Linked DNA regions of Macaca mulatta. The main gene of each other region encodes a partner of the protein of the gene in region 2 in a complex. Links are inferred from orthologs where the notes say so. Each region holds a gene or a part of one and is shown on either strand. Other genes may lie near its edges.

Evidence for each region. Proteins that work in one complex are often made in the same cells at the same time.
Region 1: the proteins of PLOD3 (region 2) and COLGALT1 are in contact, whole or in part, in a cryo-EM structure (PDB 8ZGE), measured with the Homo sapiens proteins. The link is inferred for Macaca mulatta from reciprocal best matches to the Homo sapiens genes PLOD3 and COLGALT1. Residues at the interface, in NP_001075.1 of Homo sapiens: Leu226, Val229, Val230, Leu231, Lys232, Phe233, Asp234, Arg235, Arg241, Gln261, Tyr264, Leu265, Pro275, Gly430, Ala431, Leu432, Arg440, Glu442, Glu446, Arg452; in NP_078932.2 of Homo sapiens: Ala36, Tyr37, Phe38, Pro39, Glu40, Glu41, Arg42, Trp43.

What each region holds. Positions count from the first base shown.
Region 1 is NC_133424.1:18,075,885-18,080,957, forward strand, and holds part of COLGALT1 (procollagen galactosyltransferase 1), read left to right. Parts: intron 1-431; coding exon 432-564; intron 565-1,959; coding exon 1,960-2,087; intron 2,088-3,183; coding exon 3,184-3,390; intron 3,391-3,661; coding exon 3,662-3,929; 3' UTR 3,930-5,073. UniProt on the Homo sapiens protein: Beta-galactosyltransferase that transfers beta-galactose to hydroxylysine residues of type I collagen. By acting on collagen glycosylation, facilitates the formation of collagen triple helix. Also involved in the biosynthesis of collagen type IV.
Region 2 is NC_133408.1:48,476,685-48,481,757, reverse strand, and holds part of PLOD3 (multifunctional procollagen lysine hydroxylase and glycosyltransferase LH3), read left to right. Parts: intron 1-321; coding exon 322-385; intron 386-2,276; coding exon 2,277-2,374; intron 2,375-2,537; coding exon 2,538-2,639; intron 2,640-2,825; coding exon 2,826-2,951; intron 2,952-3,123; coding exon 3,124-3,245; intron 3,246-3,547; coding exon 3,548-3,652; intron 3,653-3,781; coding exon 3,782-3,907; intron 3,908-4,823; coding exon 4,824-4,965; intron 4,966-5,052; coding exon 5,053-5,073. UniProt on the Homo sapiens protein: Multifunctional enzyme that catalyzes a series of essential post-translational modifications on Lys residues in procollagen. Plays a redundant role in catalyzing the formation of hydroxylysine residues in -Xaa-Lys-Gly- sequences in collagens.

The DNA.
Region 1 (5,073 bases), on a different chromosome or scaffold from region 2:
GCTGGTAGACGGCAAGTGATTCAGATGGGGGCGGGCGTGGTGTCCAAACAGGTGTAGACCACATCAGTGGGCGTCATGGAGGGCAAGTGAAAGGGACCCCGGGGAAGGGGCAGATCCTCACAGTTGTAGACCATGGAAGGCAAGTGAGTCCTGACCCAGGGGAATGGGTCGGTTTGCATGCTGCCAGTGTAGACCGCGCTGGTGGGGACTATGGAGGGGTAAGTCAGTCAGACTCCAGGAGAGGAGGAGAGCAGGTTTGCCCATGAGTGTATACCATGTGCAGGTGAGTGAGGCCCCATGTGTCCAGGAGGGGTGCCAGTGCTACAAGAGGGGGACCAGCTGCTCAGCGCCGCAGGGGATGATGGAATGGCGGGGGATGGCAGAATGGCAGGCAAGGTGAGCCTTCTTCATGACCCTCTCCTCCTCTCCAGAGCCATGAACACCAGCCAGGTGGAGGCGCTGGGGATCCAGATGCTGCCCGGCTACCGGGACCCCTACCACGGCCGGCCCCTCACCAAGGGTGAGCTGGGCTGCTTCCTGAGCCACTACAACATCTGGAAGGAGGTGTGTCCTGAGCGATGGGCGGGGCCAGAGTTATGACTCGAGATCTCCTCTGAGATTTGGAGCGGGAAGGGGTTGAAGGAGTTCCCCAAAGCCCTGGCCAGGCATCCAGCCTCAGCCATGGGACCCATGGCGTCTCTTTAGTGAATGATGCGCCACACCAGCTGTATCAACCCCAGGTGTGTCTGCCATCCTTCCATTGCGCAGATGTGGAAACTGAGGCTCGGGGGAGGGGTGAGCCCTTTTGAGCAGCAGGTGGTGTCTGGGGCCTGGGACCTGTAAACAAATCCTCGTTACTCCCAGCCTGGTCTCTATGCTTGACGTTTAGTAATAGAAGTCATGGCCACAGAGCCACTTTAAACCAGCACCTGCCCAGTGCCAGGGGCACCCCACCAGCCCAGGCATCCTCAGCCACCCTCAGAGGGAGAGGCTGTGATTGGAGGAGGGTGTCTGATTGGGCTTCGAACTTGGGGCTATCAGGGCCAGGCATGGTGGCACACACCTGTGGTCCTGACTACTCGGAAGGCTAAAGTGGGAGGGTGACATGAGCCTAGGAGTTAAGGCTGCATTCAGCCAAGATTGTGCCACTGCACTCTAGCCTGGACAACAGAGCAAAACTGTGTCTCAGAAAAAAAGAGAAAAATGGCTGGGTGTGGTGGCTCATGCCTGTAATCTCAGCACTTTGGGAGGCCAAGGCAGGTGGATCACCTGAGGTCAGGAGTTCAAGACCAGCCTGGCCAACATGGTGAAACCTCGACTCTACTAAAAATACTAAAATTAGCTGAGTGTGGTGGTGGGCTCCTGTAATCCCACTACTTGGGAGGCTGAGGCAGGAGAATCACTTGAACCCAGGAGGTGGAGGTTGCAGTGAGCTGACATCATGCCATTGCACTCCAGCCTGGGCGACAAGAGTGACACTGTGTCTCAAAAAAAGAAAAATAAATAAAAGCCGCGCGTAGTGGCACATGCTTGTAATCCCAGCTACTCAGGAGGCTAAGGCAGGAGAATTACTTGAACCCAGGAGGCGGAGGTTGCAGTCAAGATTGAGCAACTGCACTACAGCCTGGGCGACCGAGCGAGACTCCGTCTCAAAAAAGAGAAAAAAAAAAGAAAGAAAAAAACATGATCATCAAACATGAAGCCAAATGGGGGCGTGCGGCTGCAAGGTGGGAGGTGCATGAGGTGTGGACATTTGAGGGGCTAGGAGGCCTTCCTCTTCGGAGATCCATCATGGGTGACAGAGGGCATGGATGTCCAGATGTCCCTGGAGCTAGGAGAGGCGGGGAGATGCACTGGCTTCTCTCCTGGTCTTTCAGAGCTTCTGAAAGCAGAGCTCTGTGCTTTAGGGTCAGGCCTGGCCTTGGCCTCCCTGTGACCTGGCTGGGCTTCCTCTCTCAGGTGGTGGACCGGGGGCTGCAGAAATCGCTTGTGTTTGAGGATGACCTGCGTTTTGAGATCTTCTTCAAGAGACGCCTGATGAACCTTATGCGCGATGTAGAGCGGGAGGGCCTGGACTGGGACCTCATGTGAGTGGGGATCTGAGGGTGGGGTGAAGCTGGGGCCTGGGGCAAGGCCAGGACTTAGAGGTGGGGTTGCGGACAGGGTGAAGCTGGGGCCTGGGGACGGGTCATGGCTTAGAGGCGGGGCTTGAGGGTGGGGTGGAGCTGGACCAGGGCTTAGAGGTGGGGCTGCGAGGCGGAGTGGAGCTGGATCCTAGGGGCGTGGCCAGAGCGCTGCAGCTAAGCCTAGAGCCGTATGTCTGGGTGTGGTCAGGGTGGTAGGCGTAGGGCGTGGCTAACTCCTGGAAACGTAGCAGGATGATTCACGTGATCCCTGGGCCTGAGAGCACTGTCAGGGCTGTAGACTATATAGGGAAGGACCTTAGAAGGATCACCCAGAACTCAAGGTACCTGGCCAGCAGCCTGCAGGCTTGGTCAGGGCTTAGAGACTTGACTGAGGTCTATGGAAGTGAATGTGGCTAAAATTTGACCGGGCAGCCTGCGGGCGAGGCTGAAGAGCATGGGGTGTGGTCATGGAGGGCGTGGTCAGAGCTGGAGGTGTGGCCGAAGAGTGGGGGCGTGGCCAGGGCGCCTGGGTCTTAGACAAGCCCTGGTATGGGAGTACCGCCCCCATGTTTCCTGCACTGGAGCCTTTCTTTTCTCCTATAGGTGGGCTGGTTTGTCCTCTTCTTTCCTCCATCTTTCCCTTCCAAGTGCAGTGCCCTAATCCACATTCTGGGAACACTGCCCCGTGTGAATAGTAACTGCACCCCTCCATTCCTGACTGCTCCCCACATCAGGGCACCTCGCCCACCTCCACCCCCACTGCCCTCTGAACTCAGAGCAGCTTCAGCCTCAGAGAACCTCTGCGTGATCCTGCTCTCCCCAGCTCCAAAGCCTCCACGGCTCCCTCACGCCCTTTGGAAAAACTCTAATTCCCATGACCCACATGACCCCCAGACCCCTGGGCTCCTGCATTCTCTGCATCCAGTCACAGCGCTCCGCAAACATGCTGAGCCTGCTCCCATCCCAGGGCCTGGCGGGGTAACTAGATCCCTAGTTTTCTGGGCAAGCTCCCTCTGGAGGGCGGGAGGAGAGTGACAGGCCCGATCCTGCACCCCAGCTACGTGGGCCGGAAGCGGATGCAGGTGGAGCACCCCGAGAAGGCTGTGCCCCGCGTGAGGAACCTGGTGGAGGCCGACTACTCCTACTGGACCTTGGCCTACGTGATCTCCCTGCAAGGCGCCCGCAAGCTGCTGGCTGCTGAGCCGCTCTCCAAGATGCTGCCTGTGGACGAGTTCCTGCCCGTCATGTTCGACAAGCACCCAGTGTGAGAGGGGCAGGCGGCTGCTGGGCTGGCGTCTCACCGTGGGCCTGTCCTGGGAGGGTGGGGGCGTGAAACTCACGGACTCTGAGGACTTGTCTCTTCTTCTGCCTACTTCTCCCTCCGTTCGCCCCCTCCCAGATCTGTCTCCATTTGTATCCCCTGCACACTTACGTCTTAATCTATCCCGGCTGACTTCTTCACCTCCAGTTTTTCCTCCAGCTGTCCCCTCCCCTGAAGCCATTGCTGCCCCTCACTCCCCTCCTCCTCCCCCCAGGTCTGAGTACAAGGCCCACTTCTCCCTCCGCAACCTGCATGCCTTCTCCGTGGAGCCGCTGCTCATCTACCCCACACACTACACCGGAGACGATGGCTATGTGAGTGACACTGAGACCTCAGTCGTATGGAACAATGAGCACGTCAAGACCGACTGGGACCGCGCCAAGTCCCAGAAGATGCGGGAGCAGCAGGCACTGAGCCGTGAGGCCAAGAACTCAGACGTGCTCCAGTCCCCACTAGACAGTGCTGCCCGGGATGAACTCTGAGGGGTGGCAGCCAGAAAGCCAAAGCAGCCTTCGCTGGCCCAGGTTCCAGGTGCTTACTGAGGACATCAGGGCCACCTCTAGGACCCCTTGGCAGGCCGCAGAGGGCTCTCGTGTGGGGTGGTGTCCAGCCAGCTCTCGCTAAGCAATCACGTGCACACAGGCAGCATTAATGGAGTGCCTACTGCATGCCAGCAACAGGGCTTGGCCCTGGGGAACTGGGAAGAACCAAGCCCTCTTCATCTGTTCATGTGCCCAACACTTATTAAGTACCTGCTGTATGCCAGGTTCCCATGTTATGGCAGTGAATGAGGCATAATTATTCCCTCTATCAGCGATTGATTCAGTCATCAAGCAGTTACTGATCAGAGTAAGAATCAGGCACTACTGATACACATTCATTTTTAAAATTCATTCAAGGATTTATTGAGTGCCTACTGTGTATTGGGTGCCATTCTAGGCTCTGGGATTTTTTTTTTTTTTTTTTTTTTAAAAGAGCAGAGTCTCACTCTGTCACCCAGGCTGTAGTGCGGTGGTATGATATTGGCTCACTGCAGCCTATGCCTCCCAGGTTCCAGCAATTCTTGTTTCTCAGCCTCCCAAGTAGCTGGGACTACAGGTGTGCGCCATCACGTCTGGCTAATTTTTGTATTTTTGGTAGAGACGGGGTTTCACCATGTTGGCCAGACTGGTCTCGAACTCCTGACCTCAAGTGATCCACCCGCCTCGGCCTCCCAAAGTGCTGGGATTACAGGCATGAGCCACTGCGCCCAGCCCAGGCTCTGGGAATATTGAGATAAATAAGATGCTTCTATCCATTTATTCAAGCACATACTGATCACCTACTGTGTGCCTGGCACTCGTGTCACAAAGATAAGTTATTGATTTGGTACACTTAGCCCCTGCTGTGTGCAGGGAGCTGAGCTGTGGGATGGGAATGGGAGTGAACAAGGTACTTTTCACGTTTTTCCTTTTTCCCCTCACTGCTAGACGGTGTGGGAACTTCTCACTCTTTAATTGGCTTCTTTTCCACACACCTCAAGAGCACTGACTGTGTGCTGGGCACTAGTGATAAGAAAGAGGATGACAGTTGTTCAGTCTGCATTTTCGTCATGGGCTACATGCCAAGTGCTAGGGCACAGAGATG
Region 2 (5,073 bases):
TTGGGAGGCTGAGGCTGGTGGATCACTTGAGGTCGGGAGTTTGAGACCAGCCTGGCCAACATGGTGAAACCCTGTCACTACTAAAAATACAAAAATTAGCCAGGCATGGTGGTACTCTCCTGTAGTCCCAGTTACTTGGGAGGCTGAAGCAGGAGAATCGCTTGAACCGGAAGGCAGAGATTGCAGTGAGCTGAGATCATGCCATTGCCCTCCAGCCTAAGCAACAAAAGTGAGAGAAAAAGAGAGAGAGAGAGAAGAGAGAAATGATGTCCTTCCCATTCCTTCCATTTTAACCACTCTATCGCATCTCATTCCATTTAGGAGAAACTCAGCCTTAATCTGGATCATAAGTCTCGGATCTTTCAGAACCTCAACGGGGCTTTAGGTGAGGAGGAAGACAGCCGCAGGTGGGCAGTGCACAGCCTCTGCAGCTTGGGGTCTTGAGCTGGGAGAGGCTTCTGGAGGACCTGGGCTGATCTGAGTCCACCTCTATGTGGTTTTATTGGGCATCTGAGTGGCTGGTTGTGTGAGTTGCACTGTGCTGATGGTACTAGAAGCAAGGGAGGCAAAAATGCGTCTGGCATCTGTTGCACACATGCTGCACCTGGGCACCAGGCCAGGGGCTTTTTTTTTTTTTTTTAGATGGAGTTTCGCTTTGTTGCCTGGGCGGGAGTGCAATAGTCCAATCTCAGCTCACCGCAATCTCCGCCTCCTGGGTTCAAGTGATTCTCCTGCCTCAGCCTCCCGAGTAGCTGGCATGCGCCACCACGCCTAGCTAATTTTGTATTTTTAGTAGAGACAGGGTTTTACCATGTTGGCCAGGCTGGTCTCGAACTCCCAGCCTCAGGTGATCCGCCTGCTTCAGCCTCCCAAAGTGCAGGGATTACAGGCGTGAGCCACTGTGCCCGGCCTACTCTGTGATTTCGTTTAACAAAGGGAAGGTCCCTGGTTATCCTTCTCATACAGATGAGGAAAGCAGCTTGTGGAGGGGTTGGTGACTTGCCTCAGGGGATGGGGAGAACGGAGAGAGAGAGGCCAGGCACGGTGCCTCATGCCTATAATCCCAGCATTTTGGGAAGCCAAGGCAGGAGGATCACTTGAGGTCAGGAGTTCGAGACCAGCCTAGCCAACATAGCAGAAACCCGTCTCTACTAAAAAAAAGTACAAAAATGAGCCGGGCATGGTGGCGAGCACCTGTAATCCCAGCTACTCAGAAGGCTGAGGTAGGAGAATCACTGGAACCCAGGAGGCGGAAGTTGCAGTGAGCCAAGATTGCGCCATTGTACTCCTGCCTGGGCAACAGAGACTCCCTCAAAAAAAAAAAAAAAAAAAAAAAAGGAGGCCAGGTGCAGTGGCTCATGTCTGTAATCCCAGCACTTTGGAAGGCCGAGGCGGGCAGATCATGATGTCAGAAGTTTGAGACCAGCCTGGCCAACATAGTGAAACCCCGTCTCTACTAAAAATACAAAAATTAGGCCGGGTGTGGTGGCTCATGCCTGTAATCCTAGCACTTTGGCAGGATTGATCACCTGAGGTCAGGGCAGGTGGATCACCTGAGGTCAGGAGTTCGAGGCCAGCCTGGTTGACATGGCGAAATCCCGTCTCTACTAAAAACACAAAAATTAGCCAGGTGTAGTGGTATGTGCCTGTAATCCCAGCTACCTGGGAGGCTGAGGAAGGAGAATCGCATGAACCCGGGAGGTGGAGGTTGCAATGAGCCAAGATCGCGCCACTGCACTCCAGCCTGCGTGATAGGAGTGAGACTCCATCTGAGAATAAAAAACAAAAAATACAAATACAAAAATTAGCCAAGTATGGTGGTATGTGCCTATAGTCTCAGCTAGCTGGGATGCTGAGGCAAGAGAATCATTTGAACCCAGGAGGCAGAGGCTGCAGTGAGCCAAGACCGCACCATTGCACTCTAACCTGGGCGACAGAGTGAGACTCCATCTCAAAAAAAAAAAAAAAAAAAAAAAGGAGAGAGGGAGAATATGAGGAGGGGTAGGGATGCTGAGGCTCCTAGTGGACCCCAGTTCAGCTCATCCTCCCCTTCCACCCAGCTGTGACATGATCACGCAGGTAGTAGGCAATGGAGCTTTCTGGGCCAGCAGCCTGGTCAGAACCCAAAGGTTCCTGCCCCACAATGAGGGACACTCTAGGATGGCCCTGGTGTCCCTTTATTCCCTGGAGAATATGGGACCCCGTATTTAGAAGAACATGTTGCTTGGCAGCTCCCAGAGAAAGGGAGTCTGAAGCCTGACCTTTTTCTTCCCCAGATGAAGTGGTTTTAAAGTTTGATCGGAACCGTGTGCGTATCCGGAATGTGGCCTATGACACGCTCCCCGTTGTGGTCCATGGAAACGGTCCCACTAAGGTGCCACCAGTGGTCTCAACCGCCGCCCTGCCCTGCCCCAACCCCCGGGCACCTCCAACCTTTCTGAGAAGCCAGCCCTTCCCAGCCCCCATACCAGAGGTGCCTGATCCCCACCTCCACCCCTGGAGGCCTCAGCCACTCAGCCTCAGTCTCTCCCCGACAGCTGCAGCTCAACTACCTGGGAAACTACGTCCCCAATGGCTGGACTCCCGAGGGAGGCTGTGGCTTCTGCAACCGGGACCGGAGGACACTCCCGGGGGGGCAGGTGAGGTGGGGGTGCCAGGGAGGGGCACGAGAGGGCAGCATGCTGAGCAGGAGGTGCAAGGACAGTGGGCTGGGTGGTGGTGGGGCCACCGCTCGCGGGTCCCTGCACCTGTCAGGGTGGAGGGTGGGTGGGGGCAACGGAGAAGTCCAGGCTTCCCTCTGAGCCCATGTGTGGTGCATCTTCCAGCCTCCCCCCCGGGTGTTTCTGGCCGTGTTTGTGGAACAGCCTACTCCGTTTCTGCCCCGCTTCCTGCAGCGGCTGCTGCTCCTGGACTATCCCCCTGACAGGGTCACCCTTTTTCTGCACAACAACGTGAGACCGCCCCCCCCCGCCCCGATCTTGGAGCCTCTCCCGAGGCACCCTTCCCCTGCCCTGATCAGAACTCCCGTGCCCCTACCCCCATCTCCTTCCCGCAGCACCCCCCATACCTCAGGTGCCGCCTCCCTGCCCTCTGAGCCCATTCGTCTATGTCATCCCCTCCCAGGAGGTCTTCCATGAGCCCCACATCGCTGACTCCTGGCCACAGCTCCAGGACCACTTCGCAGTCGTGAAGCTGGTAGGGCCGGAGGAGGCTCTGAGCCCAGGAGAGGCCAGGGACATGGCCATGTGAGCGGGTGCTTGCGGGGAGGAGGGGGTGGGATGAGGGTGCAGGGTGGGGGTTGCTGCCACCTGATGCCTGGCCCTCACCTCACCTGTCACCCGTCCAGCCCCTCCTGAGCCTCCCCATTCGCGTCCTTGCAGCCCCCACGCTGTCACCCCCGCCCTTACCAGCTCACCCAGACAGCAGAGAGCCTAGGGAAGGAAGGATAGACACTGCCTCCCTCCTTTTCTCATGGGGGCGTGGGCCAGTCCCCCCATCCACACTGCCTCCTCACCCGCCGCTGTCTCAGCTCGCCTCTTACCTCCAGGGACATGTGTCGGCAGGACCCCGAGTGTGAGTTCTACTTCAGCCTGGACGCTGACGCCGTCCTCACCAACCTACAGACCCTGCGCATCCTCATTGAGGAGAACAGGTGGCTTACCCCCTCTCCCCGCAGCCGGAGGGCACCCCAACAGGCCCTGGGAACCCCACTTCTGCCTTGGGTACGGGGCTCCCCAGGCCTGCTCCCGTCTGCCCAGCCCTCACCCCTGCCTGTCTGTAGGAAGGTGATCGCCCCCATGCTGTCCCGCCACGGTAAGCTGTGGTCCAACTTCTGGGGCGCCCTGAGCCCCGATGAGTACTACGCCCGCTCCGAGGACTACGTGGAGCTGGTGCAGCGAAAGCGAGTGTGAGTCCCGCCAGCCTGCAGCCCCCTGCCTCCTCCGACCCAGGGCCCGGGTAGACCCAAGGCCCCCACTCTCAGGGGTTTGGAGTGGTCACCAGTCAGAGGTGCCACGAGGCCGGGTACAGTGGCTCACACCTTTGATGCCACCATTTTGGGAGGCCGAGGTAGGAGGACTGCTTGAGCCTGGGAGTTTAACATCAGCCTAAGCAACATAGCAAGATCATGTCTCTACAAAAAACTTAAAATATTAGCTGGGCACGGTGGTGCGTGCCTGTAGTTCCAGCTACTACGTAGGCTGAGGTGGGAGGATCACTTGAATTTGGGAGGTTGAGGCTGCAGTGAGCCATGTTTGCACCACTGCACTCCAGCCTAGAAACAGAGGGAGACCCTGTCTCAAGAAAATAAAAAACAAGGGCCGGCCATGGTGGCTCAATGCCTGTAATCCTAGCACTTTGGGAGGCCAAGGCAGGCGGATCACTTGAGGTCAGGAGTTCAAGACCAGCCTGGCCAACATGGTGAAACCCCATCTCTACAAAAAATACAAAAATTAGCTGGGCATGGTGGTGGGCACCTGCAATCCCAGCTATTTGGGAGGCTAAGGTGGGAGAATTGCTTGAATCTGGGAGGCAGAGGTTGCAGTGAGCCAAGATCACACCACGGCACTGCAGCCTGGGTGACAGAGCAAGACTCCGTCTCAAAAGCCAAAAACAAGAAACAAAAAAGTGCCACAGCTTGGGGTAGGGACTGACTGCGTTTTGGGAGATGGGGCGGTTGTGACAAGCAGTGCTTGACAAGGGACATGCAGGAGCCTTATGTTCAGGGACTGCGATACTCTAAGGGAAGAAGGACTTCCCGGGATGAGCTGGGCAGAATTTGGGGGGCCGCCCTCCCAGCTGACCACGGTTGTCGGTGCCTCCAGGGGCGTGTGGAACGTGCCATACATCTCGCAGGCCTATGTGATCCGGGGGGATACGCTGCGGACGGAGCTGCCCCAGAGGGACGTGTTCTCAGGCAGTGACACGGACCCGGACATGGCCTTCTGTAAGAGCTTTCGAGACAAGGTGAGCGCGGGTGCGTGGTGTGGCCTGGGGGCAGCATCCCGGACTGTGGGCATGGCCTGCATCATGGACACCCCCACCCCACTACAGGGCATCTTCCTCCATCTGAGC